Linked DNA regions of Macaca fascicularis. Each later gene encodes a partner of the first gene's protein in a complex. Links are inferred from orthologs where the notes say so. Each region holds a gene or a part of one and is shown in the gene's direction. Other genes may lie near its edges. The genes, in order: EFTUD2, RNF113A, CRNKL1, PPIL2, ARMC7, CWC15 and RBM48.

What was found.
Region 2: EFTUD2 (region 1) and RNF113A share a complex: the UniProt entries of both Homo sapiens proteins name them as parts of the minor spliceosome. The link is inferred for Macaca fascicularis from reciprocal best matches to the Homo sapiens genes EFTUD2 and RNF113A.
Region 3: EFTUD2 (region 1) and CRNKL1 share a complex: the UniProt entries of both Homo sapiens proteins name them as parts of the minor spliceosome. The link is inferred for Macaca fascicularis from reciprocal best matches to the Homo sapiens genes EFTUD2 and CRNKL1.
Region 4: EFTUD2 (region 1) and PPIL2 share a complex: the UniProt entries of both Homo sapiens proteins name them as parts of the minor spliceosome. The link is inferred for Macaca fascicularis from reciprocal best matches to the Homo sapiens genes EFTUD2 and PPIL2.
Region 5: EFTUD2 (region 1) and ARMC7 share a complex: the UniProt entries of both Homo sapiens proteins name them as parts of the minor spliceosome. The link is inferred for Macaca fascicularis from reciprocal best matches to the Homo sapiens genes EFTUD2 and ARMC7.
Region 6: EFTUD2 (region 1) and CWC15 share a complex: the UniProt entries of both Homo sapiens proteins name them as parts of the minor spliceosome. The link is inferred for Macaca fascicularis from reciprocal best matches to the Homo sapiens genes EFTUD2 and CWC15.
Region 7: EFTUD2 (region 1) and RBM48 share a complex: the UniProt entries of both Homo sapiens proteins name them as parts of the minor spliceosome. The link is inferred for Macaca fascicularis from reciprocal best matches to the Homo sapiens genes EFTUD2 and RBM48.

Annotation. Positions count from the first base shown.
Region 1 is NC_088390.1:65,948,244-65,951,743, reverse strand, and holds part of EFTUD2 (116 kDa U5 small nuclear ribonucleoprotein component), read left to right. Parts: intron 1-1,608; 5' UTR 1,609-1,612; coding exon 1,613-1,717; intron 1,718-3,500. UniProt on the Homo sapiens protein: Required for pre-mRNA splicing as component of the spliceosome, including pre-catalytic, catalytic and post-catalytic spliceosomal complexes. Component of the U5 snRNP and the U4/U6-U5 tri-snRNP complex, a building block of the spliceosome.
Region 2 is NC_088395.1:126,232,984-126,236,151, reverse strand, and holds RNF113A (E3 ubiquitin-protein ligase RNF113A), read left to right. Parts: upstream 1-1,470; 5' UTR 1,471-1,576; coding exon 1,577-2,611; 3' UTR 2,612-2,668; downstream 2,669-3,168. Other genes in the region: NDUFA1 (NADH dehydrogenase [ubiquinone] 1 alpha subcomplex subunit 1), read right to left, coding at 1,177-1,278. UniProt on the Homo sapiens protein: Required for pre-mRNA splicing as component of the spliceosome. As a component of the minor spliceosome, involved in the splicing of U12-type introns in pre-mRNAs. E3 ubiquitin-protein ligase that catalyzes the transfer of ubiquitin onto target proteins.
Region 3 is NC_088384.1:67,260,686-67,264,185, forward strand, and holds part of CRNKL1 (crooked neck-like protein 1), read left to right. Parts: intron 1-394; coding exon 395-573; intron 574-2,232; coding exon 2,233-2,403; intron 2,404-3,500. UniProt on the Homo sapiens protein: Involved in pre-mRNA splicing process. As a component of the minor spliceosome, involved in the splicing of U12-type introns in pre-mRNAs.
Region 4 is NC_088384.1:31,448,912-31,452,411, reverse strand, and holds part of PPIL2 (RING-type E3 ubiquitin-protein ligase PPIL2), read left to right. Parts: intron 1-647; coding exon 648-723; intron 724-1,933; coding exon 1,934-2,094; intron 2,095-2,812; exon of another isoform or gene 2,813-2,901; intron 2,902-3,500. UniProt on the Homo sapiens protein: Has a ubiquitin-protein ligase activity acting as an E3 ubiquitin protein ligase or as an ubiquitin-ubiquitin ligase promoting elongation of ubiquitin chains on substrates.
Region 5 is NC_088390.1:81,510,598-81,514,097, forward strand, and holds part of ARMC7 (armadillo repeat-containing protein 7), read left to right. Parts: intron 1-2,683; coding exon 2,684-3,045; 3' UTR 3,046-3,500. UniProt on the Homo sapiens protein: As a component of the minor spliceosome, involved in the splicing of U12-type introns in pre-mRNAs.
Region 6 is NC_088388.1:93,949,601-93,953,100, reverse strand, and holds part of CWC15 (spliceosome-associated protein CWC15 homolog), read left to right. Parts: intron 1-1,010; coding exon 1,011-1,129; intron 1,130-3,500. UniProt on the Homo sapiens protein: Involved in pre-mRNA splicing as component of the spliceosome. Component of the PRP19-CDC5L complex that forms an integral part of the spliceosome and is required for activating pre-mRNA splicing.
Region 7 is NC_088377.1:128,836,628-128,840,873, reverse strand, and holds the start of RBM48 (RNA-binding protein 48), read left to right. Parts: upstream 1-1,446; 5' UTR 1,447-1,464; coding exon 1,465-1,575; exon of another isoform or gene 1,576-1,835; intron 1,836-2,128; coding exon 2,129-2,319; intron 2,320-4,246. Other genes in the region: peroxisomal ATPase PEX1, read right to left, coding at 957-1,085. UniProt on the Homo sapiens protein: As a component of the minor spliceosome, involved in the splicing of U12-type introns in pre-mRNAs.

The DNA of each region.
Region 1 (3,500 bases):
AAACATCACCTTAATGAAGTGATCAAAGTTAACGTTACCACCAATGAGGCAAATTGAAATCATGTATCACCTGATAGGAAATGCTTTGAGAACCACAGTTCTCACATGTTCTCACAGCATCACTTCTATGATATTCCTGCCTAAAACACATAACCTGAATATTATCATAAGGTAACATCAGACAACCTCAAATCAAGGGACATCCTTAAGGATGTCACGACAGTCCTTGGAAGGAAAGACTGAAGATTGTAAATCCAAAGAGACCAAAGACATGACAACCAAATGCAAACATGATCCTGGATTGGATCCTTGGGCGTGTAAGATATCATTGGAACAATCTGTGAAACGTATTGGAACAATCTGTGAAACCTGAATGGGATCTGTAAATTAGGTGGTAGTAATGTGTGAATATTAATTTTCTGATTTTGATGGTTGTGTTGTGGTTATGTAGAAGAATGTTCCTGTTTGTAGGAATCACACAAGGTGAGGGAGAGGTTGGCAAACTTTTTCTGTTAAGGACTGGATAGTATTTTAGGCTTTGTGAGCCATATGGTTTCAGTCCCAACTACTCAACTCTGCTATTACAGTGTAAAGGCAACTGTAGATGATGTAAATGAATATGCATGGCTGTTTTCCAGTGAACCTTTTTTTTTTTTTTTTTTTTTTTGAGATGGAGTCTCGTTTTGTCTCCCAGGCTGGAGTGCAGTGGTGCCACCTCAGCTCACTGCAACGTCCACCCCCTGGGTTCAAGGGATTCTCCTACATCAGCCTCCTGAGTAGCTGGGATTACAGGCATATGCCACCATACCTAGCTAATTTTTGTATTTTTAGTAGAGACAGGGTTTTGCCATGTTGACCAGGCTGGTCTCGAACTCCTGACCTCAGGTGATCTGCCCGCCTTGGCCTCCCAAAGTGCTGGGATTACAGGTGTGAGCCACTGCGCCAGGCCTCCCAATGAAATTTTTTAAGTAGACACAGACATTTGAATTCCTTATAATTAATTTTCATGTATTGTGAAATATTTTTCTTTTGACAATTTAAAAATGTTGAAAAGCATTCTTAGCTAGAGGGCCATGCAGAAACAGCTGGAGAGGCCAGATTTGGCCACAGGCCAGAGTTTGCACACCCTTACACTAAAGTATTAGGAGGTGATGAGCCACTGTGTCAACAGCTCACTTTCAAATAATTTAGGAAAAAGTAAGTTGTTTGTACTATTCTTGCCACTTTTTGACATTGAGTTATTTTAAAATTAAATTTGGTATTAAAGAAGTGGAGGAAGGGGACCTCCTCTTTTGGCTTTGGAGCACCCCGCCCCATCTCTGTAGTGGGGAGCTTCTTCCTTCTGTCTTCTTTCCTTCTTGCCTATTAAACTCTGCTTGAAACAAACAAAAAAAAAAAAGTGGAGGGAAGACTACATAAATAGAGACAAGTAGGGCAGAGACTTGGGTAAAGTACTGGTCTTTGGGAGGAGCCTTCAGTAGATTGATGTCACTGGGAGGAGGCATGTTCTGAAAGGGGTATGGCCAACTATAAGACTAGGTAGGTGGGGCCACCACATGGAGGCCATGATTACTTTGCCAGAATCTAACTCCTTTCCTTGAATTTTAGCATCATGGACACCGACTTATATGATGAGTTTGGGAATTATATTGGACCAGAGCTTGATTCTGATGAAGATGACGATGAATTGGGTAGAGAGACCAAAGATCTTGATGAGGTAAAGCAAATATATTGCTCTTTTCATCTCGCTCTTACTTATTTTTATTTAAGACAAGGTCTCACTCTGTTGCCAGGCTTGAGTGCAGTGGCGCAATCTCAGCTCACTGCAACCTCCACCTCCTGGGCTTAAGTGATTCTCCCATCTTGGCCTCCCAAATAACTGGGACTACAGGCATGCATCACCATGCCCAGCTAATTTTTTTTATTTTTCATAGAGACAAAATGTTGCCCAGGCTGGTCTCGAACTCCTGAGCTCAAGAATCCACCCGCCTTGGCCTCCCAAAGTGCTGGGATTACAGGCATGAGCCACCATGCCCAGCCCCCTCTTTTCTTTTCTCTCTCTCTTTTTTTTTTTTTGAGACAGCCTCACCCTGTTGCCCAGGCAGGAGCACAGTGGCACCATCTTGGCTCACTGCAGCCTCTGCCTCCCAGATCCAAGCGATTCTCATGCCTCCGCCTCCTAAGTAGCTGGGATTACAGGTGTGTGCCACCATGCCTGGCTAATGTTTTTTGTATTTTTAGTAGAGACGGGGTTTCACTATGTTGTCCAGGCTGGTCTTGAACTCCTGACTTCAAGCAATCCACATGCCTTGGCCTCCCAAAGTGTTGGGATTACAGGTGTGAGCCACCGCGCCTGGACAGATTTATTTTTTTTTAATTATATTGAGGTATATAACAGAGATGCATAGATTTTGGTAATGGAGACAGAAAAGAAAGATGTCCATTCTAAGACTGGGCTCATTGGCTCATGTCTGTAATCCCAGCACTTTGGGAGGCTGAGGTGGGCGGATGACCTGAGGTCAAGAGTTTGAGACCAGTCTGGCCAACATGATGAAACCCAATCTCTATTAAAAATACAAAAATTGGCCGGGTGCGGTGGCTCAAGCCTGTAATCCCAGCACTTTGGGAGGCCGAGACGGGTGGATCACGAGGTCAAGAGATCGAGACCATCCTGGCTAACACGGTGAAACCCCGTCTCTACTAAAAAATACAAAAAACCAGCCGAGCGAGGTGGCGGGCGCCTGTAGTCCCAGCTACTCGGGAGGCTGAGGCAGGAGAATGGCGTGAACCCAGGAGGCGGAGCTTGCAGTGAGCTGAGATCCGGCCACTGCAGTCCAGCCTGGGAGACAGAGCGAGACTCCGTCTCAAAAAAAAAAAAAAAAAAAAAAACACACAAAAATTAGCTGGGCATGGTGGCATACACCTGTAGCCCCAGCTACTCCGGAGCCTAAGGCAGGAGAATCTCTTGAACCCAGGAGGTAGAGATTGCAGTGAAACTCCATCTCAAAAAAATTAAAAAAATTAAAAATTTTAAAAAACAATGATAAAAGAATACTGGTTTATACTGGTTTAGTTTTATTTTAGACTTGTTGAGCTACTGTAGACTCGGTAGAGGTAATTACAGGCAGTCAGAAATGATTATATAAAATCCTGCAGTTAGATTCATAATATATTCAGCAGTATGGGGCAGTAGAAAACTGGCTTGATAGCTATTTTGGAGCCACCACCAGTAAGATATATGTGGCTGCCAAAAGAGCTAATGTAATCTTAGGCCACTTTAGTAGAAGTAGAGTGTAAGATGGTAGGAGGTAGCCAGTCTTACCACTGGAGGGTTTTGTGTTCTTAAGGAAGAGGTTGGCATGCTGTAATTTGTGTGAAGGAAAACAAGCACCCAGCAGTCCCTCTACCCACCTGCCTACACCTGTACTCATATACGATGCCTTCCCTTCCATTCTTATGAATTATTTGTTCATGCTTCTGTCTACTAGAAACTAATCCCA
Region 2 (3,168 bases), on another chromosome or scaffold:
AAATAAAAATGCAAATTAGTAGTACAAGAACAGAATCTCCTAAATAAAATCAGACCACTACACTTTAGGATTAAGTTGGTGACCGTGACTTCTTACACTATTTTAACCAACATGAATTTTTTTTCCTTTTTAAAAAAAAGAAAAAAAAAAGAAATATCTAGTTGTTGCCTTTTGGGACACTAAGAAACAACAGCTGTAGATCACACGTGGACAATCACAAATTCAAAAAGTAAGTAAATTTATACTCTGTACTCTAGAGATGATGTGAAGGGCTAAGAGGGGAAAATGAATCCTGATGTAAAACACAAGACCTTGCAGTAAATTCCTAAACGCTTGCAAGAGAAAGTGGGGAATAAAAAAGTCAAGGGTGGCCGGGAGCGGCGGCTCACGCCTGTAATCCCAGCACTTTGGGAGGTCAAGGCGGGTGGATCACCTGAGGTCAGAAGTTCGAGACCAGCCTCGCCAACATGATGAAACCCCCGTCTCTACCAAAATAAATAAATAAATAGCCGGGCGTGGTCCCGGCTACTCAGGAGGGTGAGGCAGGAAAAATTTTTTTTTTTTTTTTTGAGACGGAGTTTCGCCCTTGTTGCCCAGGCTGGAGTGCAGTGTCGCGATCTCGGCTCACTGCAACCTCCGCCTCCTGGGTTCAAGCGATTCTCCTGCCTCAGCCTCCCGAGTAGCTGGGATTACAGGCATGCGCCACCACGCCCCACTAATTTTGTATTTTTAGTAGAGATGGGGTTTCCCCATGTTGGTCAGGCTGGTATCGAACTCCCGACCTCAGGTGATCCGCCCGCCTCGGTCTCCCAAAGTGCTGGGATTACAGGCGTGAGCCACCGCGCTCAGCCAGGAGAATCTCTTGAACCCGGAAGGCGGAGGTTGCAGTGAGGGATTCTCAGGCTTGAGCCACCTCTTCTAATCTACCTTTCCGGCCCCCGCGTCGCTACTCTGCCCTAAGGCCCACTTTGATACACCCAGAAACGCTGTTTTTCACCAGAGCAGGATGTGGTTTCTACCGCGCTTCGTTTCGCAAGCCTCGGCTTCTAGGCAACCGGAAGAAAGTAGAGGGCCGGCCTCGGAGAGAGGGTCCGCAGGCTGACGGCCTCTCTGCCCACCATCCTTTTCAGAAATCAGCCAGTGGAGTCAGCCCCCGGGCCCAGGAAGCCGCCTTACCTTGCCCCCGTTAGTGAACCTCTGGATGTACGCAGTAGCCAGTCCTGGAATAAGCAAGCACACGCCCATGGCGGCGAGTCCGGGGAGAATCTCGAACCACATCTCTGCCCCGTTATCTAGGCCAAAACCCTACTTCTGGGTCCTTGAAAGGTGACCGGGCTTCGGCTCCCTTCCCAGTAAGCCCCGCGGCCGCCCGCGAGCGGGGCGGTGCCACGTACGGCTCCGGAGGAAGCGACGGGATCTGCCAGGGCTCAAGAGAGGCTGGCGCTCGCGCTCTCGCAGTTCTCTTCCGTCAGTGTCTTTTGCTTCGACTCCCGGCGGAGCGCGCGACGTGGAGTAACGCGCAGAGGCCAAGTGCAACCCAGGCAGCGACGGCCGTTTCGGAGCTCGGGACTCTAAAATGGCAGAGCAGTTTTCTCCAGGGAAGACGGCGGATCAGGTGTGCACCTTCCTTTTCAAAAAGCCTGGGCGGAAAGGGGCTGCTGGACGCAGAAAGCGCCCGGCCTGCGACCCAGAGCCCGGAGACAGCGGCAGCAGTAGCGACGAAGGCTGCACTGTGGTTCGACCGGAAAAGAAGCGGGCGACTCACAATCCAATGATACAGAAGACTCGTGACAGTGGTAAACAGAAGGCAGCTTACGGCGACTTGAGCAGCGAGGAGGAGGAGGAAAATGAGCCCGAGAGTCTCGGCGTGGTTTATAAATCCACCCGCTCGGCGAAACCCGTGGGACCAGAGGATATGGGGGCGACAGCTGTCTATGAGCTGGACACAGAGAAAGAGCGCGATGCACAAGCCATCTTTGAGCGCAGCCAGAAGATCCAGGAGGAGCTGAGGGGCAAGGAGGATGACAAGATCTATCGGGGAATCAACAATTATCAGAAATACATGAAGCCCAAGGATACGTCTATGGGCAATGCCTCTTCCGGGATGGTGAGGAAGGGCCCCATCCGAGCGCCCGAGCATCTACGTGCCACCGTGCGCTGGGATTACCAGCCCGACATCTGTAAGGACTACAAAGAGACTGGCTTCTGCGGCTTCGGAGACAGCTGCAAATTCCTCCATGACCGTTCAGATTACAAGCATGGGTGGCAGATCGAACGTGAGCTTGATGAGGGTCGCTATGGTGTCTATGAGGATGAAAACTATGAAGTGGGAAGCGATGATGAGGAAATACCATTCAAGTGTTTCATCTGTCGCCAGAGCTTCCAAAACCCAGTTGTCACCAAGTGCAGGCATTATTTCTGCGAGAGCTGTGCACTGCAGCATTTCCGCACCACCCCGCGCTGTTATGTCTGTGACCAGCAGACCAATGGCGTCTTCAATCCAGCGAAAGAATTGATTGCTAAACTAGAGAAGCATCGAGCTACAGGAGAGGGTGGTGGTGCTTCCGACTTGCCAGAAGACCCCGATGAGGATCCAATTCCCGTTACTTAGCTGTCTGATAATTCTTAAATTTAAATAATAAATATTTTGTTCTTTTGGAAGTCTTAATTCGTGTCCTTCCTTTGTAGAGACAGTGACAGAGAAGGCGGGTGGTGAAGTAGGGTCCTGGATTAAAAACCTCAAGGTAGGTATAATCAGGATTTTTAGCCCTAGGATAACCATTTTGCCTGTGTTTCTTTTCAGAACACTTTGGCATCAATTATAGGGGTGGGAGTAGTTTGAGAAAAGAGCTATAATTTGCTTGAAGTAGCCAAAGCTATGACGAAAGTAAGAACTCTGAGCCTGTTTATCATATCACATTTCTGTATCACTTAATAGTTTACAAAGTACTTTCATGCATTCTTTCTCTTGGGAGCCTGTACTACAAAATATACCGGAGCCAAGGTGTTGGGGAGAGGGGTTGCGTTTGGGGAATTGGTAGCTAGTACCACAGGCTTCACATATGGGAAATGTTCCTTGCTGTCTGGGTTATTTATTTATTTATTTATTTATGAGACGGAGTCTCGCTCTGTTGTCCAGGCTGGAGTGCAATGGCGCGATCTCAGCTC
Region 3 (3,500 bases), on another chromosome or scaffold:
CATACATTTTCTCATTTAAAGCTGGCAGTAATCCAGTGAGGCTGGCATTATATTTCCCTGTTTACAAATGAAATAGCTGAGACTTTTGACAAGTTTGGTGACTTATCCGAGATCACATGGTTGGTAACCTGGGTTGAGATTTTTCTTTGCTTCCAAACTCAAGTTTGTACCCACCACTAAAATCTTAACTAAGCACTGGAGGAAAATAGAGATGAATAAGCGTGGCCCTGCTCTCACGGAAGCCACTGTTTAGTTCTACGCTTTTGTGTGTTTTATTCCCCTAAAATTGTAGTTTGAATTGTTGGGGTTTCAGGCTTTGGTATGGTTTTGGTGTTTACTTACCATTTTTTTAAGCCATGCTGTTTTGCCTGGTATTTCCTTAATCCCCTTGCACTTGTCCTCGTGCACCCTGATGTTAAGAACTGGATCAAGTATGCCCGCTTTGAAGAAAAACATGCTTATTTTGCCCACGCACGGAAGGTGTATGAGAGAGCTGTGGAATTCTTTGGAGATGAACATATGGATGAGCACCTGTATGTCGCCTTTGCCAAGTTTGAAGAAAATCAGAAAGAGGTAAGTATACTTAACTTCATTGTACTGTGAAACAGCTTAGCAAAGATTACATTTTGTGCATGGTGAGTTCATTTCCATTTTTTCTTACTGACATATCCCTGGAGATGTTTTCAAAATGCAAAAAACACAACTTCTCACAGAGAGCAGCGTATATATGTGACTAAGCTACAGATGGGAGCTGATTATAGATTGTATTATACCTGTCTTAATTTTATTGTGCTTTGTTTGAAAATTAAGTCTTTTAGTCTGAATGCCCGTAAACTGAGAGCTAGTCTTTTAGCATCCTAAGTAAAGGACTTAACAGATAATAAATGTGGGAAACAAAAAGCATAAAGCCCCAGAACAGAAAACAAAATTTAGAATGGAAATAGACATTGCCCTACAAATAAGATATTTCTTTTTTTCCCTTGTTCCTATGAAAATAGCTCAAATATTGAGAGGCTGAGGTAGGAGGATCGCTGGAGGCCAGGATTTTGAGACCAGCCTGGGCAACATAGTGAGACCCTGTCTCTAAAAAAAAAAAAATTGAGTGGGCATAGTGGCGCACGCCTACAGTCCCAGCTACTTGGGAAACTGAGGCAGGAGTGTCACCTGAGCCTAGGGGTTTGAGACTACAGTGAGCTATGGTCGTGCCATTGCACTCTAGCCTGGGTGACAGAGCAAGACCCCATTTCTTTAAAAAAAAAAAAAAGGCAGTTCAAATAATACAGAATTGAGATCCATCCAAATACAGGTTTGAGCATTCCCAGTCTGAAAATCTGAAACTCAAAATGTGAAACTTGTTGAGTGCTGACATGACACTCAAAGGAAATGTTCATTGGAATGTTTCAGACTTTGGGTTTTTGGATTAGGGATGCTGAACCAGTAAGTATAATGCAAATATTCCAAAACTGGGAAAACATCCCAAATCCAAAACATGTCCAGTACCAAATATTTCAGACAAGAGATACTCAGCCTATACAAGGTCTTGCACAGACCATGCTAAGGAGTTCAAATTCTGTTCGGGCCAGCAGGAAGCATTAAAAGGTTTTAAGCGGACAGTGATTGGATATGATTTATATTTTAAAGAGAGCCTCTGGCTAATTCATGGAGAATATATGGGGGTGGATGGCAAAAGTGGAACCAGGGGAGACTAGTGAGGAGACTTTTGAAGTGGTCCAGGTAAACAGTGGAGCTTGATGGCTGGGGGCTGGGGACGAGCGAAGGGCTGTGTGGAAGAGATTGAAATGGCAGGGCATGTTGCAAGAGTGAATATGGAGAATGAGGGAAAAAGAGGAATTGAGGATCACCTGAAGGCTTTGGCGTGAGCAAGTATGTGACTGTAGGTTAGGCCTTGCCTACTAAGATTGGGAAGATGGGGAGAGTCCCAGGTTGAGTGGGGAAGAAACAAGCTCAGTTTTGGACCTGTTTGAGATGTGCAGTAGACATCCAATTGGCAGTGTTAGTTAGGTAGACAGTATTAAATGTGGAGCTCAAAGCAGGGTACTGGTCCATCCTGACGGAGATACCTTCAACAAAATGGAGAAAAGCATCTTACTCAGGACATTATGAGGCCTCAAATTCTAACTTAAAAGTAATATTTTGGTACATTTACTCTCCTACTTGTGACTGTCATGAGAATATTGTGTTATAGAAGGTAATCATCCTGTCTGCATTTAGTTTGAAAGGGTACGAGTGATTTACAAGTATGCCCTGGACAGAATTTCAAAACAAGATGCCCAAGAACTCTTTAAAAATTATACCATCTTTGAGAAGAAGTTTGGTGATAGGCGGGGTATTGAAGATATCATCGTGAGCAAACGGAGATTCCAGTACGAAGAAGAAGTAAAGGTGAGCGCTGGTGTGGATGGTCAACTCTGCAGATAACCCAAGATGTGCTCATCAATACTAGCAACACTAAGATGAATCATAGCAAGTTAGCACTACCAGTGATTAATCTCTTGATGATGTGCCTGTGATCAACTGGCAGCTATTTCAGACAAGTAGGAATAAACAAGGCTGATAGAAAAGGCAAGCAAACAACACTTGGATTTGGTCTGCCACTTACATGTTGTAAGTTATTTTGTTGATTGCTGACTGTGTGTAGAACTGGAGCAAAAGAAATGTGGACTCCATTCGAGCTCATTGTTGGAAGAAGGTGGAAGAGTCAGAGATTGGTCCAAAAACCTGTTTTGCACATCACCTTTGAGCTTAACTGCCTGAACAAAAGATGTATGCTAGACAGGGTTCCACTGGCATCTCTTTTTCTGTAATGTACTATTTTGATTTCAATTCAAAGAGAATAGCATTTTCCTTCAGTATTCTGCTATGTATTTAAAAATACTCTTGCTTAAAAATTAGCCGGGTGTGGTGGTGGGTGCCTGTAGTCCCAGCTACATGGGCGGCTGAGGCAGGAGAACGGCATGAACCCGGGAGGCGGAGCTTGCAGTGAGCCAAGATTGCGCCACTGCATTCCAGCCTGGGCGACAGAGCCAGACTCCATCTCAAAAATAAAAATAAAAATAAATAAAAAATACTCTTACTTAGTCAAGTTAATTAAGATACCTCCAAGCAAAGGACTAAATCTGTTATTAAATGTGGTGGTAGGTTAGCAAGATATGTGAAAGATGAATTACTGTTAATTGGAAAGGCAAGTTTAACAATTGTGAGCATGATATAATTCTATTGTTGTTACAGACATAATGATACATAGTCACATATTTAAGCAAATGCATTGGTAAGAATAGGCATCTAATTATTGACTATCATGAGAGTGATGACTATAGATGAAGGGGTGCTTGCTGTGGGACACCTGGCCAGTAATCTAACCTCTGTATTCCTGTGTCTTTTCTATTTATGCAGTCTCAGGGATGGTGTTTTTAAAATGAGAGAACATGTAAAATTTAGAAGAAAAGGTGCTAAAATATAGAAAGTCGGCCTGATGCCTT
Region 4 (3,500 bases), on another chromosome or scaffold:
CCCTGCAGCCAGCCCAGGCCTCTACGGGGCCGCCGCCTCAGTCTAGCTCTTACATCTCCTCCCCGATCCCCCACCCCCATGTCAGGGTCCCTCATATCTGTCCTCAGAGCCTCCTAAGGCATCTGAATGGCCACTCTGCAGGCCTGGCTCTGCTTCAGCGCCTCGACGGCAGGAGCTGGTGTGAGCTCTGGGCCTCAGGGTCTGGCACAGGGCTCCCTGCAGGTGTCAGAGAACTCCAAGTGAATTAACGAAAAACACTGACTTAGAAAAGCAGGTGCTGGCTGGAGCGTGGCCTGCTGAGTCAGTCACCTCTGTGGCTTGTCCCATTCTAACCAGAGGTTGGCCCGTGGCTGCCCACGTTCCTGTCCGAGAGCTCCCTAACAGCGATGAATGCTCGTTAACCATGTGCCTGGAGGAAGGTCGCAGCTCGGCCAGCAGCTAGCGAGGCCGTGTCCCTGTCCCTGCCCCTGCTTGCTGCCCTGCCTGGGGCAGACCACCTCCTCTGCCATGCCCTGCTTGACTCCCCCCACCTCAGTGTAGGCCTGGCCTCTTTCCCACCTCTGACAGCTGGCCGACCTTTGCTGCATGTGGCTGCCATTTGGCCGCAGGCTGGGTTCACTCTGCTGGGCATTCTCTTTTTGCCACAGGACCCCACCAATTTGGACAAGTTCAATGTTTCTAACTTCTATCATGTGAAGAATAACGTGAAGATAATAGACCCAGGTATGTACAACTAGGGGCTGGGCTAGGCGAGGGGGCATTTGGGTGAAATTGGGACAGTGCTCCCTGGGTAAAATCCTCCCTTTCCTGGAGGTCAGAGGGTCCCAGCCTAGACAGGCCCTGCATTTTCTGAACCAGTGTTCAGAGAATCCGAGCCAGCTGCAGCCTCAGAAACAACGGGCGGGATGGACTTGCCGCCCTGCCAGGACACCTGCTCAGGTTCCCCTGCTCCCTGCAGACTGGCCGGTGCTGTCAGTGGGCAGGTGGTGGGGTGACGGGGTCCTCCTGTTTTCCTGGCCGCTGGTGGCTGTCCTGCAGCCTTGGAGGAGCCAGCAGGACTCATGCTCAGAGGCCACTCAGCCTTGTGCTGCAGAGCAGTGGCCTGGGCACTTCGTGAGCATTGTATAAACTGGGTTTTAGGGAGGCTGAGCACATGACTAGGGGAGATTTGAGTCAGGAGAGCCTGAGGCCAGGGTTGGGGCTGGGCCGTGTCTGTGCTCTCTGCACGGGGATGCCCGTCCCTCTCCACAGAGTGGACTGCTGTCCAAGGACCAGTAGGCAGCAGGCGCCCTCCTGAGTTGGCAAGAATGGGGGATTTCACATCCGAAAAGACTCCCACACACTTCTATCAAGTAAAAACCTTTAAAATTACGGAAGCAAAGGGGCTGGGCGCAGTGGCTTACACCTGTAATCCCAGCACTTTGGGAGGCTAAGGCAGGTGGATTGCTTGAGCTGAAGAGTTCAAGACCAGCCTGGGCAACATGGGGACACCCTGTCTCCACAAAAAATAGAAAAATTAGCTGGGTGTGATTGGCGCGCGCCTGTAGCCCCAGCTACTCGGGGGGTTTAGGCAGGAGAATCGATTGAGCCCAGGAGGTGGAGGCTACAGTGAGCTGAGATCTTGCACTGCTTTCCAGCTGGGGTGACAGAGCTAGACCCTGTCTCAAAAAAAAAAAAAAAAAAAAAAAAGCAAAGTGTATACAGTAAAAAGATTAGAATATGCAGGAAACTACAACATGAAGTCCATCCTGAGACCCTTGTGAACTGCCTGGGGAGACCTTCAGGCCTGTAGCTGGGCACTGTGGCATTCTGTGGCTGGCAGTGGCACGGGGCCCATGCCATGGCTGGACAGCCCTGGCCTATTCTAGATCTGTTTCCCCAGCACGAGGATACTGGGGGCTCGGCTGCTCAGGGCCATGCTAATGTTTTGTAGATGAAGAGAAGGCCAAACAGGACCCGTCTTACTATCTGAAAAATACAAATGCCGAGACCCGAGAGACCCTGCAGGAGCTCTACAAGGAGTTCAAAGGGGATGAGGTTCTGGCAGCCACCATGAAGGCCCCAGAGAAGAAGAAAGTGGACAAGCTGAACGCTGTGAGTGGTGGAGGGCACTCGGCCGAGCCCCGTCTCCCTGCCTATCTCATGGCCTCTTGGAGTGGTCCTGGGAAAGGGGTTCATGGGGGTCTGGGGTTCCACGGCAGGGAGGCAGCCAGGATCCTCCAGAGCTGTGGTGCCCCTGATTGCTCTGAGCACACAGCCCTGGGGCTGCCCTGAGGTAGACAGAATCTGAGAAGGCGGAAGGGGAGGGGCTGACGTCCACACTGGTCGTTGAAGAACCAAGGGGTGTGTGGGGGCACGCAGGGGAGGAGACCCCTCCGCAGAAGGTCTGCCTTATGCTGTGGTCCCAGCCTGAGCTCAGTGGCCAGGGCAGGCACGTGGAGTGGGCACGTGTGGTTCTGTGGTGGCTGGGAGGGCAGGGCCCAATGTGCACTGGGGCGCAAAGCCATGCCAGGGAGAGTTGGGGCGTTTCAGAGTCTGCTGCGGTGCTGAGGTGGATGGCGTGCCTGGGACCGCACAGAGCTGCCTGTCTGGGGCTGCTGTGTTTGCTTCTTCCTCCTGTTCAGGCAGAGTGTGGGGATCTGGAGCTAGGGGGAGTGCAGAGACATGGGCAGGTATCGCTGAAGTTCTCCTTAAGGAATTATTCAAATTCTGGAAAAATTTAAAAAGCAAGTTTGTTGTCCATGGTCACCCCTCTGACACGCTGACACGCTGCCCTTAGCACTTTGGTATATATTTTTTTTTTTTGAGACAGGATCTTGCTGTGTTGTCTAAGCTGGTCTTGAATTCCTGGCTTCAAGTGAGATCCTCCTGCCGTGGCCTCCGAAAGTGCTGGATTAACAGGTGTGAGCCACTGTGCCTGGCTTGTATTTTCTTCTGATGGGAGAAACCCCTTTTCTTCCTCTATGATAAAAAATAACATTTATTGGGGCTTTCCCCCGACCCCTGATTAAATATGTAATGTGTTTAGTGTAGAAAATTTGAAACTTTAAAAAAAAGAAATGAGGCCAGGCGTGGTGGCTCACACCTGTAATCCCAGCATTTTGGGAGGCTGAGGCAGGAGGATTGCTTGAGGCCAGGAGTTCAAGACTAGGTTGGACAACATAGTGAGACCTTATCTCTACAAAATATCAGCCAGGTGTGGTGGCAGGCGCCTGTTGTCCCAGCTGCTCAGGAGGCTGAGGTCGGGGGGTCACTTGAGCCCAGGAGTTGGAGGCTACAGTGCACCAGGATTGCACCACTACGCTCCAGCCTGGGTATAGATCAAGACCTTGTCTGATAAAAGAAATAAAAATAAAAATAAATGGGAAGTCAGCCATATACTCCTAACCCTGAGGTGGCCAGTCCTGTGTGGTATTTTATCTCCAGGGTTTCAGCTGATATTGTAAGAGTCGGGACCCAGTTGAGGCCAGGGGCCCCTGGCTCGGCCTGGCCTTGGCTTC
Region 5 (3,500 bases), about 16 Mb from region 1:
AGTTGGGTTTCAGGTTCAGGTAAATCTTCTCTTTGTTAGTTTCCAGAAAAACAGGGCAAGTGGGTGAAGCTGTGGCCTTCACTCCTGATTGATCACTCAGGACACTGGGCATGTTTTGCAAATGAGCTGAGAGGTGGCTTCCTCCACTGAGCAGGAACCAAAGGGAGGGGTACCGTGATGACAGGAAGCTGCGTTAGGATGCATGGAAAGTTATCTTCCCGCAGTGAGCAGCTGTGCTGAGCAGAGTGACCTCCAAAACAAGGTAGCATCTGTCCCCAAGGCCAAGAGGTCATTACACTGAGGGGGCCTGACCTGAGGGAATGGGGGTGGGATTCCGGCCACATTACCTGAGCACATGAGTTCTTTGATGCAGAACCAACCACTGATGTCTCACTGTTGCCTTTTCTGTTTTCCTCCAGAATCCTAGTAACGGTGACATGGAAATAACTTTAAAATGCTCTAATCTCTTAATTACAGTACATAAGTCAAATGGTACACTCCTTACCATTAATCTACAATGATTGCATAGCCATGAATGTGCATTTATTGGCATGGAAAGATGTTCACAATACATTGTTTTTGGGGTTTTTTTGTTTTGTTTTGTTTTTGAGATGGAGTTTCACTCGTTTGCCCAGGCTGGAGTGCAATGGCACAATCTCGGCTCACTGCAACCTCAGCCTCCTGGGTTCAAGCGATTCTCCTGCCTCAGCCTCCCTAGTAGCTAGGACTATAGGTGGGCTCCACCATGCCCCGCTAATCACAATATATTGTTAAATGTAAAAATCTGGGGCGGGCACAGTGGCTCATGCGTATAGTCCCAGCACTTTGGGAGGCCGAGGCGGGTGAATCGCCTGAGGTCAGGAGTTCGAGACCAGCCTGGCCAACATGGTGAAACCCCGTCTCTACTAAAACTACAAAAATTTAGCCGGGCGTGGTGGCACATGCCTGTTATCCCAGCTACTTGGGAGGCTGAGGCAGGAGAATCACTTGAACCCAGGAGGTGGAGGTTGCAGTGAGCTGAGATCACGCCACTGCACTCCAGCCTGCGTGACAGAGCAAAACTCTGTCTCAAAAAAATAAAATAAATAAATAATATAAAAGCTGGCGTAAACCATGCACAGTGGTGCATGCCTGTAGTCTTAACTCCCAGGGAGACTGAGGCAGAAGTATGACTTGAAGCCAGAAGTTCAAGACCAGACTGGACAACATAGGGAGACCCGACCCCATCTCAGAAAACTGATCAAGCAGCAAGCAGAGTATCCCATTTTTACTAAATACTTACATGTATTCACATATTTCAAATTGTGGGATGAAAAACCAATGTTCAGTCAGCCGCCTGACACTTGAGACCGTACTATTGCTCTGTCGCCCAGGCTGGAATGCAGTGGTGCCATCTCAGCAACCTCCACCTACCGGGTTAAGCTATTCTGCCTCAGCTTCCCAAGTAGCTGGGATTATAAACATATGCCACCAGTCCCAGCTAATTTTTGCATTTTTAGTAGAGATGGGGTTTTACCATGTTGGCCAGGCTGGTCTGGAACTCCTGACCTCAGGGTGATCCATCCACCTCGGCCTCCCAAAAGTGCTGGGATTATAGGCGTGAGCCTATAATTTGTTTGTTTGTTTTTGAGCCATTTGTTTGTTTTTGAGACAGAGTCTCACTCTGTCGCCCAGGTTGGAGTGCAGTGGTGCGATCATGGCTTACTGTAGCTCCACCTCCTGGGTTCAGACAGTCCTCCTACCTCAGCCACTCAAGTAGCTGGGGCTACAGGCATGTACCGCCACGCCTGGCTAATTTTGTGTGTTTTTGTAGAGCCAGAGTTTTGCCATGTCGCCCAGGCTGGTCTTGAATTCCTGGGCTCAAGGGATCCTCCTGCCTTGGCCTCCTAAAGCACTGGAATTACAGGTGTGAGCCACTGTGCCCAGCCCATTCTAGTATTTTTACCAGTTTTATTGCTATATTATGGACATAATAAACTGTACATATTTAAAGGGTACAATTTGATAAATTTTGGTGTAAGTGTATACCCATGAAACCATCATCTTATATGTTTATAATTTTTATAAATTGTTCTAAGGTGATGATACATTATAGGTTTTTAGTTTATTTTTTTCAGATAGGGTCTCACTCTGTTGCCCAGGCCGGAGTGCAATGGTGCAATCTCGGCTTACTGCACCCTCCGCCTCCCAGATTCAAGCGATTCTCCTGCCTCAGCCTCACAAGTAGCTGGGATTACAGGCACCTGCCACGCCCGACTGATTTTTGTATTTTTAGTGGAGACAGAGTTTCACCATGTTGGCCAGGCTGGTCTCGAACTCCTGACCTCAGGTGATCCACCCACCTCAGCCTCCCAAAGTGCTGGGATTACAGGCATGAGCCACTGTGCCTGGGCCGGCCTTGTTTTAGGTTTTTACATTAAAGGGAAAAAAGAAAGCGTATCAGCCATTGAACTGGCTGAACCAAGAGGGAAAGGGATTTGTGCGCACCTCTGGAAGGCTGGGCTGTGGCAGGCGGGAGCAGGCAGGCCTTTCTAGAACCGAGAAGGCAGGAGCCGGAATGGGCTTTGGATCACTTGTGCTGGGACCAGCTTCTCAGCCTGGGCCCTCCCTGGGGTTCATGAGCTGGGGAGCTGGCAGGAGGCCCGGGGCTACAGCATCCAGATTGTTCCTTGGTCTCCCACAGGAGGCCTGTGCAACCTGTGCCCAGACCGGGCCAACAAGGAGCACATCCTGCAGGCAGGAGGTGTCCCACTCATCATCAACTGCCTGTCCAGCCCCAACGAGGAGACGGTGCTATCTGCCATTACCACGCTCATGCACCTGAGCCCGCCGGGCCGCAGCTTTCCCCCGGAGCTGACCGCCGCGCCCGTGGTGCAGTGCATGCTTCGCTTCTCCCTCTCGGCCAGTGCCAGGCTCCGGAACCTGGCGCAGATCTTCCTGGAGGACTTCTGCTCCCCACGCCAGGTGGCCGAGGCCCGCAGCCGGCAGGCGCACTCTGCCCTGGGTATCCCACTGCCGAGGAGCATGGCCCCACGGCAGCGCTGATCCACGGGGACCCCGAGACTGTAGCACCCCTACTGTTGGAGACCACGGTCCTGATGTGGACGCAGGGAACAGGGGGAGCATATGCTGCCCCACTGGTGCCTTTTCAGCCATTTGAAAGGCGGGTTCTTTCAGCAGGACAGGCATTTACACTGTGATGAAACGCCGTCAGGAGTGAGGAAGCCAGACTCCGAGGCACGCGGAGATCAAACTGGAGCTGCTTTCATAGGCCGGCACTCTCTACCCTACGTCTGGTGCCACCACTGCCAGGCTCAGGCCCTGGTGTAAGAAGTGGCCAAGTGCCTGGACCCAGAGGCTTCACAGTACAGTGTTCTCAAGAGCTGGGACTGAGGCTTAGGAGAGCTGCCTTTGCTGCGGGAAATCAGGGATTATCCCTTAACAGAAGTGTCTGGAGTAGTTTTCAGGGATAGGAATGAGATGCCTCAAGGTAAAAGATG
Region 6 (3,500 bases), on another chromosome or scaffold:
GGATGATTTGACTTTGAAGAAGTTGATGCTAAAATAAAAGTGAAGAAAGACAGTGTTGTAACTGATAAAGGATGGGAGGTATAAAAATAGAAACTGAGGCCGGGCGCGGTGGCTCACGCCTGTAATCTCAGCACTTTGGGAGGCTGAGGTGAATGGATCATGAGGTCAGGAGTTCGAGACCAGCCTGGTCAACATGGTGAAATGACATCTCTACTAAAAATACAAAAATTAGCTGGGCATGGTGGCGCATGCTAGAGGCTGAGGCGGGAGAATCAATTGAACCTGGGAGGTGTAGGTTGCAGTAAGCCGAGATCATGCCACTGCACTCCAGCCTAGGCAACAGAGCGAGACTCCGTCTGAAAAAAAAAAGAAAAAGAAAAGAAACTCAATAATAAGTCAATAAAAACAAAATAGATCAGCCTCAGGTAAATTAGTAGAAATTCATGTTAACTGGATATAATTTTGTACATGGTAGTTTGTCCTATTTTAGGAGTTTTCTTCATTAATAACTTCTCACCAAACCTAGAGACGCAAGTTTACATTATTAGTAATTCAAAATAAGATTAAATTAAATCACAGTTATGTATGACCCTTTAAAATTGAGATAATAGTTTTGCTAAATGTGTCTTTTTGATATTTAATATGTTCTTAAATTATTAGAATATGCTTATTGATATACGCTTAAAATTTAAAGCTATTAATTTTACATGTACTTCAAGAAAGAAAATAGATTTAAATATGAATCTCTAACATTTCACAGTTGGAAGAGACTGATATCAACCATGAAATATTTATAATAAAAATGCCAACTTATTTTATTTTGATGAGGGAGACTTTTCTAGTATGCCTCAAAAACCAAAAAAAAAAAAAAAAAAAAAAAGCCTGCCTTGATGCTTTTCTTGCCGTAAAATCCCAATGATCTGTTTTTTTTTTTTTCAGTGAGCTAATATAAAAAAAATTGAACCCAGAGTTAAAATAAGTAAATACTAATCTTCCTTTATCATTGACAGGAACAAGAACAAAAAGCTGAAGAAGAGAGGATTCGTATGGAAAACATTCTGAGCGGAAACCCTCTCCTTAATCTCACTGGCCCATCGCAGCCTCAGGCCAACTTCAAAGTTAAAAGAAGGTACTATACAGTAACGGAGTAATGAAGTGTGTGTGTGTGTGTGTGTGTCTATATGCACAGGCATGCAGATTATAAGTTGGATAGCAAGGTGCATTATATGAAGCTTCTAAAAGTCCACCGTTCGTTCACGGATACTCTTCTCTGTTCAATTAGGAATAATGGAAGAAGCTAAATGAAAGAAAATTAACTTATTTTCAGTAGATAGTTGCAATAACCAGCTGTGTACCAGATAATGATGTAAGCACTAGGGACAGAGTAATAAACTGAGGCCCTTACATTTTAGGTATGCGTATCAAGGGTCCCCAAGATGGCCTCTCACATTCAGACACTCACTGGAAGAACTCAGGGGACTTGGCATATAGTTACATGCTTGGCTAAGGTAATAAAGACACACAGCTAGATTATAAAGGGAAAAGACACACACGGAGAATGGATGAATCCATGCGCAGGTTTCACTATGCTCTATCCCTTCCATGAGTGGTCACACAGCACATTGTTTCCCCCAGTGCAGCAACGTGTGCAGTGCTGCTGCCCAGGGAAGCCCATTAAAGATCCCATGCCCAGGGTTTTTACTGGGCGTGGCTAGTCATGTACGCAGCTTTTGCTTAGCACATAGCAAAATCCAGACTCTTAAAAGGACAGTAGGTGTTCAGCATAAACCACATTATTTGTAAATTGTAGGCACAGTGACAGTGAGAAGATTTCTTAAATCCAAATTTTCAAATGCCAGCCAGGGGCCAACCTTGGAAGCAGGCATTTCTAAGGATTGTGGTCCCAGGCCTGCTTTTTAAATTCTTTCTGTACAGTGTGTGTGTTTGGAGGGGTAAAAAGGAGGGCTGAAAAGGGAGGAAGTATAAATTGTAAATACTGTAAATCCTTCAGATGGTGATATGTAAAATAAAACAGAAAAGCTTACAGGAAATGTTGAGGAAGGAAGAATGGTTGTTATTTTATATGCATTCATCAAGGAAACACAGTGCTTAACTTTTAAACCATATTCGTTATTTTTCACCACCTCTACTGCTATTATTTGCCATCTAGAGTGATGCAGTACTGCTACCCGCCCTCCCCTCTGGAGTGATGCAGTACTACTGACCGCTTTCCCCTCTGGAGTAATGCAGTACCGCTGATACAGTTCTGGAATTAGTCCAAGCTGGAGATAGTAGATTTGGAAGTTATCAGCTCAGATAAACTTTCTAAAGCCATAACACAGGATGAAATCACCTAGGGAAGGGTATAGCTAGAGAGGAGAAGTCAGAACTGAGCTTAGTATAATGTTTAGAGGTTAGGGAGATGATTAGTTACCAATACCTGTTCTAATCATCTACCCAACCTCTAAACATTATACAGGTGCCTGATAAATATTGATTGAATGAATTTTGAATGAAAAAGTCTAGGCTGACAAGCAGCAGCCAGTTGGGAAGAGAGGAGAACTGAAAGAAGTGAAACCAAGTGTTTCAGGAGGAGAGGAGTGATCATTTAGGACAAATACTAATGTCAGGAAAGAGCATTTTGGTGTTGGGAAGGAGGGACAAAAAGCCTGTTTGGAGTTGAGGAAAGACTGGATACAGAAAAAACTACTGATTATATATAAAAATAAAGCTATATAGTTTGTTTTTTTGCTTTTTTTGAATGCAAATGGAATTGGAGACAGAAACATGTCTTATATCCCAGTCATATTGATCTGCTCAGCTTCTTATGCTTCTCTGTATACTGCATCAGTGATGACTTTACTGCACTATTTTCCAAAGGTGCCCACGTTTGTTGCTCGTTGTGCAGTTTCCCACATTTGTTCCCATGTGCAGTTTCTCCTGGCATGTAAGCGCATACACACATACACACACTCATGATATGGGTTTGTGTTTTATGTATATTTGTGAGGGTATCTATATTATGTATATGGGCAGCTGTTTTATATGCTAGATGATATTCTGAAATCATGCTCTTTATTTTCTATAACACATGTATTTTATAACTTACTTATGGATTTTTTTTTCACACTTATACCTTATGGAATCCAACCAGAGTTCTGCCCTGAGTTCTTCGGCTGGTACTTCTCCGTGGTTAACGTACATGTGCGCCATATCTGAGCCTTAATTATTACACCCCAATGATTGCTTCTCCTTTTGTTGGCCTGTAATGCAAATATTACAGTAGATGATTACTAAACATTAACTGATAAAAGAGGAATATCTACAATCCTCAAAACCACATAATCTAAACTACATTAAATTGATTGGCTACTATCATCTACAAATGCCTATACTAATATTAGGGTAGTCCTAGGTGCAGCCTCTTTGTATTAGACCTAAAAACATTAAATATTTATGCAATTAAAATCTATGTATTTCTATTTTTTAACTCAAAAGTT
Region 7 (4,246 bases), on another chromosome or scaffold:
TGATTTGTCTCTAACCATAAAGCCCATCAAAAACCAAGATTGTCTACTTAGTAGTAAAAAATAATAACGACGATGATAGGAGGATTCTGCTGAACTCATGTTTTCAATGGACCAAAAAAATCTTCCCCTAGGTATGGAGAAGTAACTCAAGTGGAAAGAAGGGATGCTTGAAATTATTGCAAACTCTTTATTCATTACATAGATTAGCCACTGGTGGGTACCATGCATCCAGGATTTATGAAGATTTCAAATACGCCGTCCTTTTGCCCCCATAACCACACTCAAACTCGTGAGACCATGTGCCTCTATTTTTAATTACGAAAATAAGGACGCTGTATCTCCACCGGTGGTTAGAACTGCGAAACATCCCAACCACAACGTCCAGAAGGGCGACTGATCGCAGAGCTTCAAGTGATCTTAACTACGTTATGTGTTCCTGACACACTACAGCTGTGTTCCGAGGGTCTGGGACGCAGGACAGAACCATTACTATATTAAGCTTTCCCGCTCATGGGACGCGGTGCTCAGTCCCCGGGGACCGACAGGGGCTCCACCAACAACTCTGCGCCTCCCTCTCGCGGCCCGGACGGCAGCAGCGCAGGTAACTGGAAATGACTGGCAAGAAAAGCACCTTTTAAAATAACAAAAACAAACCACTTATCAGGAACTTTTCCAGCCTGGAATGAGGAATATTTATAAAAACAGTGGTAGAATATTAGGACATTTCTAGGCCCAGTTTCACCAAGTGAAAAGACCTGTGATAAGACGAGCCCAGGGCTGCACTGGACTTGCGGGATGCAGAGACTAACCAGAAGGGCCCTGCCGTCGAGGGACCCTAATCTCTGTACGCTTCGGGGGCGCCCGGGTGGCAGCCGGTGTCCCGCCGCGTCCCTGAGAGGCTTCGGCCTTGTCCGACCCCAGGCTGAAGATCAGGTGGCCCGGGGCCAGCACGTTACCTGCAGCAGGTGCAGCTGGGCCACGAGACCCCGTGGCAGGTGGAGGAAGCAGTCGCGAGCGTTGGTGAAGGCCACAGTCACTGCCGCCCCGCCTCCCCCAGCACCCGCCAGGCGATCGCTGCCCCACATCGTCCCGAAGCGTCGCTCTGGGTTTGCCCACCCTAGCGCCGCAAAGGACACGGGACCTGGCAGGCCGAGGACGTCGGAACCGGAGGAGATCGATCGGCCCCGCCCCCTGAGGCCCCGCCCCCTCTCCCCGCTGCGCGTCTCGCCGTAAGCCTGTAGTGGGGTGGGACAAGAAAGCTTCTGTCACCCACCGCGCCTCTCCGCCAAGCCGCTCGGGGGCGGCACCTCGTTCATCAAATCCTCGCACGCAGGAAACGATGGCCGACGCTGTCGATTCTTCAGCCAATGCTGACACTCCTTAACTCATCCCGCTCTCTTATTGGATAAAAGGGAGGTCAGCAGGGCGGATGTTGTCCTCCCTGCAAGGATCAAAGTAGGCAAGATGGCGTCCAGCGGTGGGGAGTTAGGGAGTTTATTTGACCACCACGTCCAGAGGGCGGTGTGCGACACGCGGGCCAAATATCGGGAGGGACGACGGCCTCGTGCTGTCAAGGTAAAGTGATTTTTGGTTTCATTCGCTCTCCTCGGTAGCTTTTTGTGAGCGCTAGCGCCATATGGCTAACCTACGGAAATAAAGGCACGACAAGGCTTCCGTCAGATCTGTCGCTCATTAGAGCTGGCGTGAAGAACCCTGGGCCAGGTACCAAAGATTCTCACGACCCTTTTGGTCAACTATTAGAACATCAACTCCACGAGAATAGGGCTTGGTTTTAGTCATTGGATCTTCAGTGTTTACAGTACTACTTGGCACAGGTAAGCGCTCAGTGAATATTCGTTGAGTGATTGTTCCCAGTGACTTCTGCCGACTCAATTTCTGGAAAAAAATGTCGACTGAAGGTAGTCTGTTATATGCCTTAGGTAGCCTCTCACATGGACTGTTACTCTTTATGCAGAGGGAATGGCAGAAATTTTATTTTGTGTTTTTTGCTGACTGGGTTGAACAGATTATTTCTTGTTTTCAAAGTTCTGTTTAAAAAAAAAAATAGAGGCAGATTCGTCCTAGGCTTATTTGCGAAATACGTTTAATAACTATGCATTTCTTTCAGGTATATACAATCAATTTGGAATCTCAGTACTTATTAATACAAGGAGTTCCTGCTGTGGGAGTCATGAAGGAATTAGTTGAGCGATTCGCTTTATATGGTGCAATTGAACAGTACAATGCGCTAGATGAATACCCAGCAGAAGACTTTACTGAAGTTTATCTTATTAAATTTATGAACTTACAAAGTGCAAGGTAAGGTGCAAGTTAAGCAATGACTCGTTTCATTTCCTCCATTCATATTTCTGTCATTTTGGCCCCAAGTTTCCCTCATTCATATCTGAATTACCCCAAAATGTAATCTAGCATATCTTCCTACAGCCTTTTTACAGGTTAACTTTACTGAAACACTGTATCCATCACATCCCATGCTTAACAATGTAATGTCCTGTAGCGTGGTAGAGTAAAAGTTGGGTTTGGCCAGGCACGGTGGCTTACGCCTGCAATCACAGCACTCTGGGAGGCCGAGGCAGGCGGATCACGAGGTGAGGAGTTTGAGACCAGCCTGGCCAACATGGTGAAACCCCGTCTCTACTAAAAATACAAAATTAGCCGGGTCTAGTGGTGCATACCTGTAATCCCAGCTACTCAGGAGGCTGAGGCAGGAGAATTGCTTGAACCCAGGAGGCAGAGGTTGCAGTGAGCCGAGATTGCGCCATTGCACTCCAGCCAGGGCAACAAGAGGGGATCTCCGCCTCAAAGAAAAAAAAAATGGGTTTGAGGGCTGGGCGCCAATAACTCACGCCTCACGCCTGTAATCAGAGTACTTTGGGAGACCGAGGCAGGCAGATCACTTGAGGTCAGGGGTTCAAGACCAGCCTGGCCAACATGATGGAAACCCCGGCTCTACTAAAAATACAAAAATTAGCCGGGTGTGGTGGTGCAGACCCATAGTCCCAGCTACTCAGGTGGCTGAGGCATGGGAATCGCTTGAACCCGGGAGGTGGAGATTGCAGTGAGCAGAAATCACACCACTGCACTCCAGCCTGGATGACAGAGCGAGGCTCCGTCTCAAAAAAAAAAAAAAAAAAAAAAAATTTGGGTTTGGCGCCAGGCATGTGGCTCACACCTGTAATCCCAGCAGTTTGGGAGGTGGAGGTAGGCGGATCACCTGAGGTCAGGAGTTCAAGACCAGTCTGGCCAACATGGTGAAACCCTGACTCTACTAAATACAAAAATTAGCTGTGTTGGTGCAAGCCTTTAATCCCAGCTCCTGGGGAGGCTGAGGCACAAGGATCACTTGAACCCAGAAAGTAGAGGTTGCAGTGAGCCAAGATCATGCCATTGCACTCCAGCCTGGAAAGAGTGAGACTGTCCCAGAAAAAAAGAAAAGAAAAGAAAAAAAAGTTGAATTCGATCCCAGCACTATGGAAGGCCAAGGTGGGCAGACAGCTTGAGCCCAGGAGTTCGAGACCCGACTGGCCAACATGGCAAAACCTCACCTCTGCTAAAAATACAAAAATCAAGGTGGGCGTGGTAGTGCATTCCTGTAGTCCCAGCTACTTGGGAGGCTGAGGTGGGAGAATCAGTTGAGCCCAGGAGGTGGAGGTTGCAGTGAGTCATTTATGGACCACTGCACTCCATCCTGGGTGATGGAGTGAGACTATGTCTCAAAAGAAAAAAAAATGTTGGGTTTGGAGTAAGTTTTCCATTTCCACTGCTTACTAGCTTTGTGATCTTGGACAAGTTATTTAACCTGTTTAAGTTTTTCCTGTTCCGTAAAATCTATATGGTAAAGGGACCTATCTACTTCTTGAGGTTGTATGAGGATGAAATGAGATAATCCATATAAAGGGTTTAGCAGAGTGCCTCCTGGTCAGAATACAGTAAGCATTAGCTATTGTGGTTTCTACTGTTACTCCTTTCTGCAAATTGACTCAGTGTTTTCCGGCCTTCTATGTGACATAAACCCTCTGCTCCAAAAAGGCTGAAGTATGCAATGCCTTATCTATTTTTATGTTGATCTCTGTTCTCCTCACTAATCTGCTCTGAGACCCATCCTTCTCTGGCTGTTACAATTCATATTTTCTTTCATGTGCTATCAGTAGAAATCATAATCTACCACAAAAGCACTTGATTTTACTGGGTCATGTGTGGTTTTCTCAGGCTGCTGTTATATGTA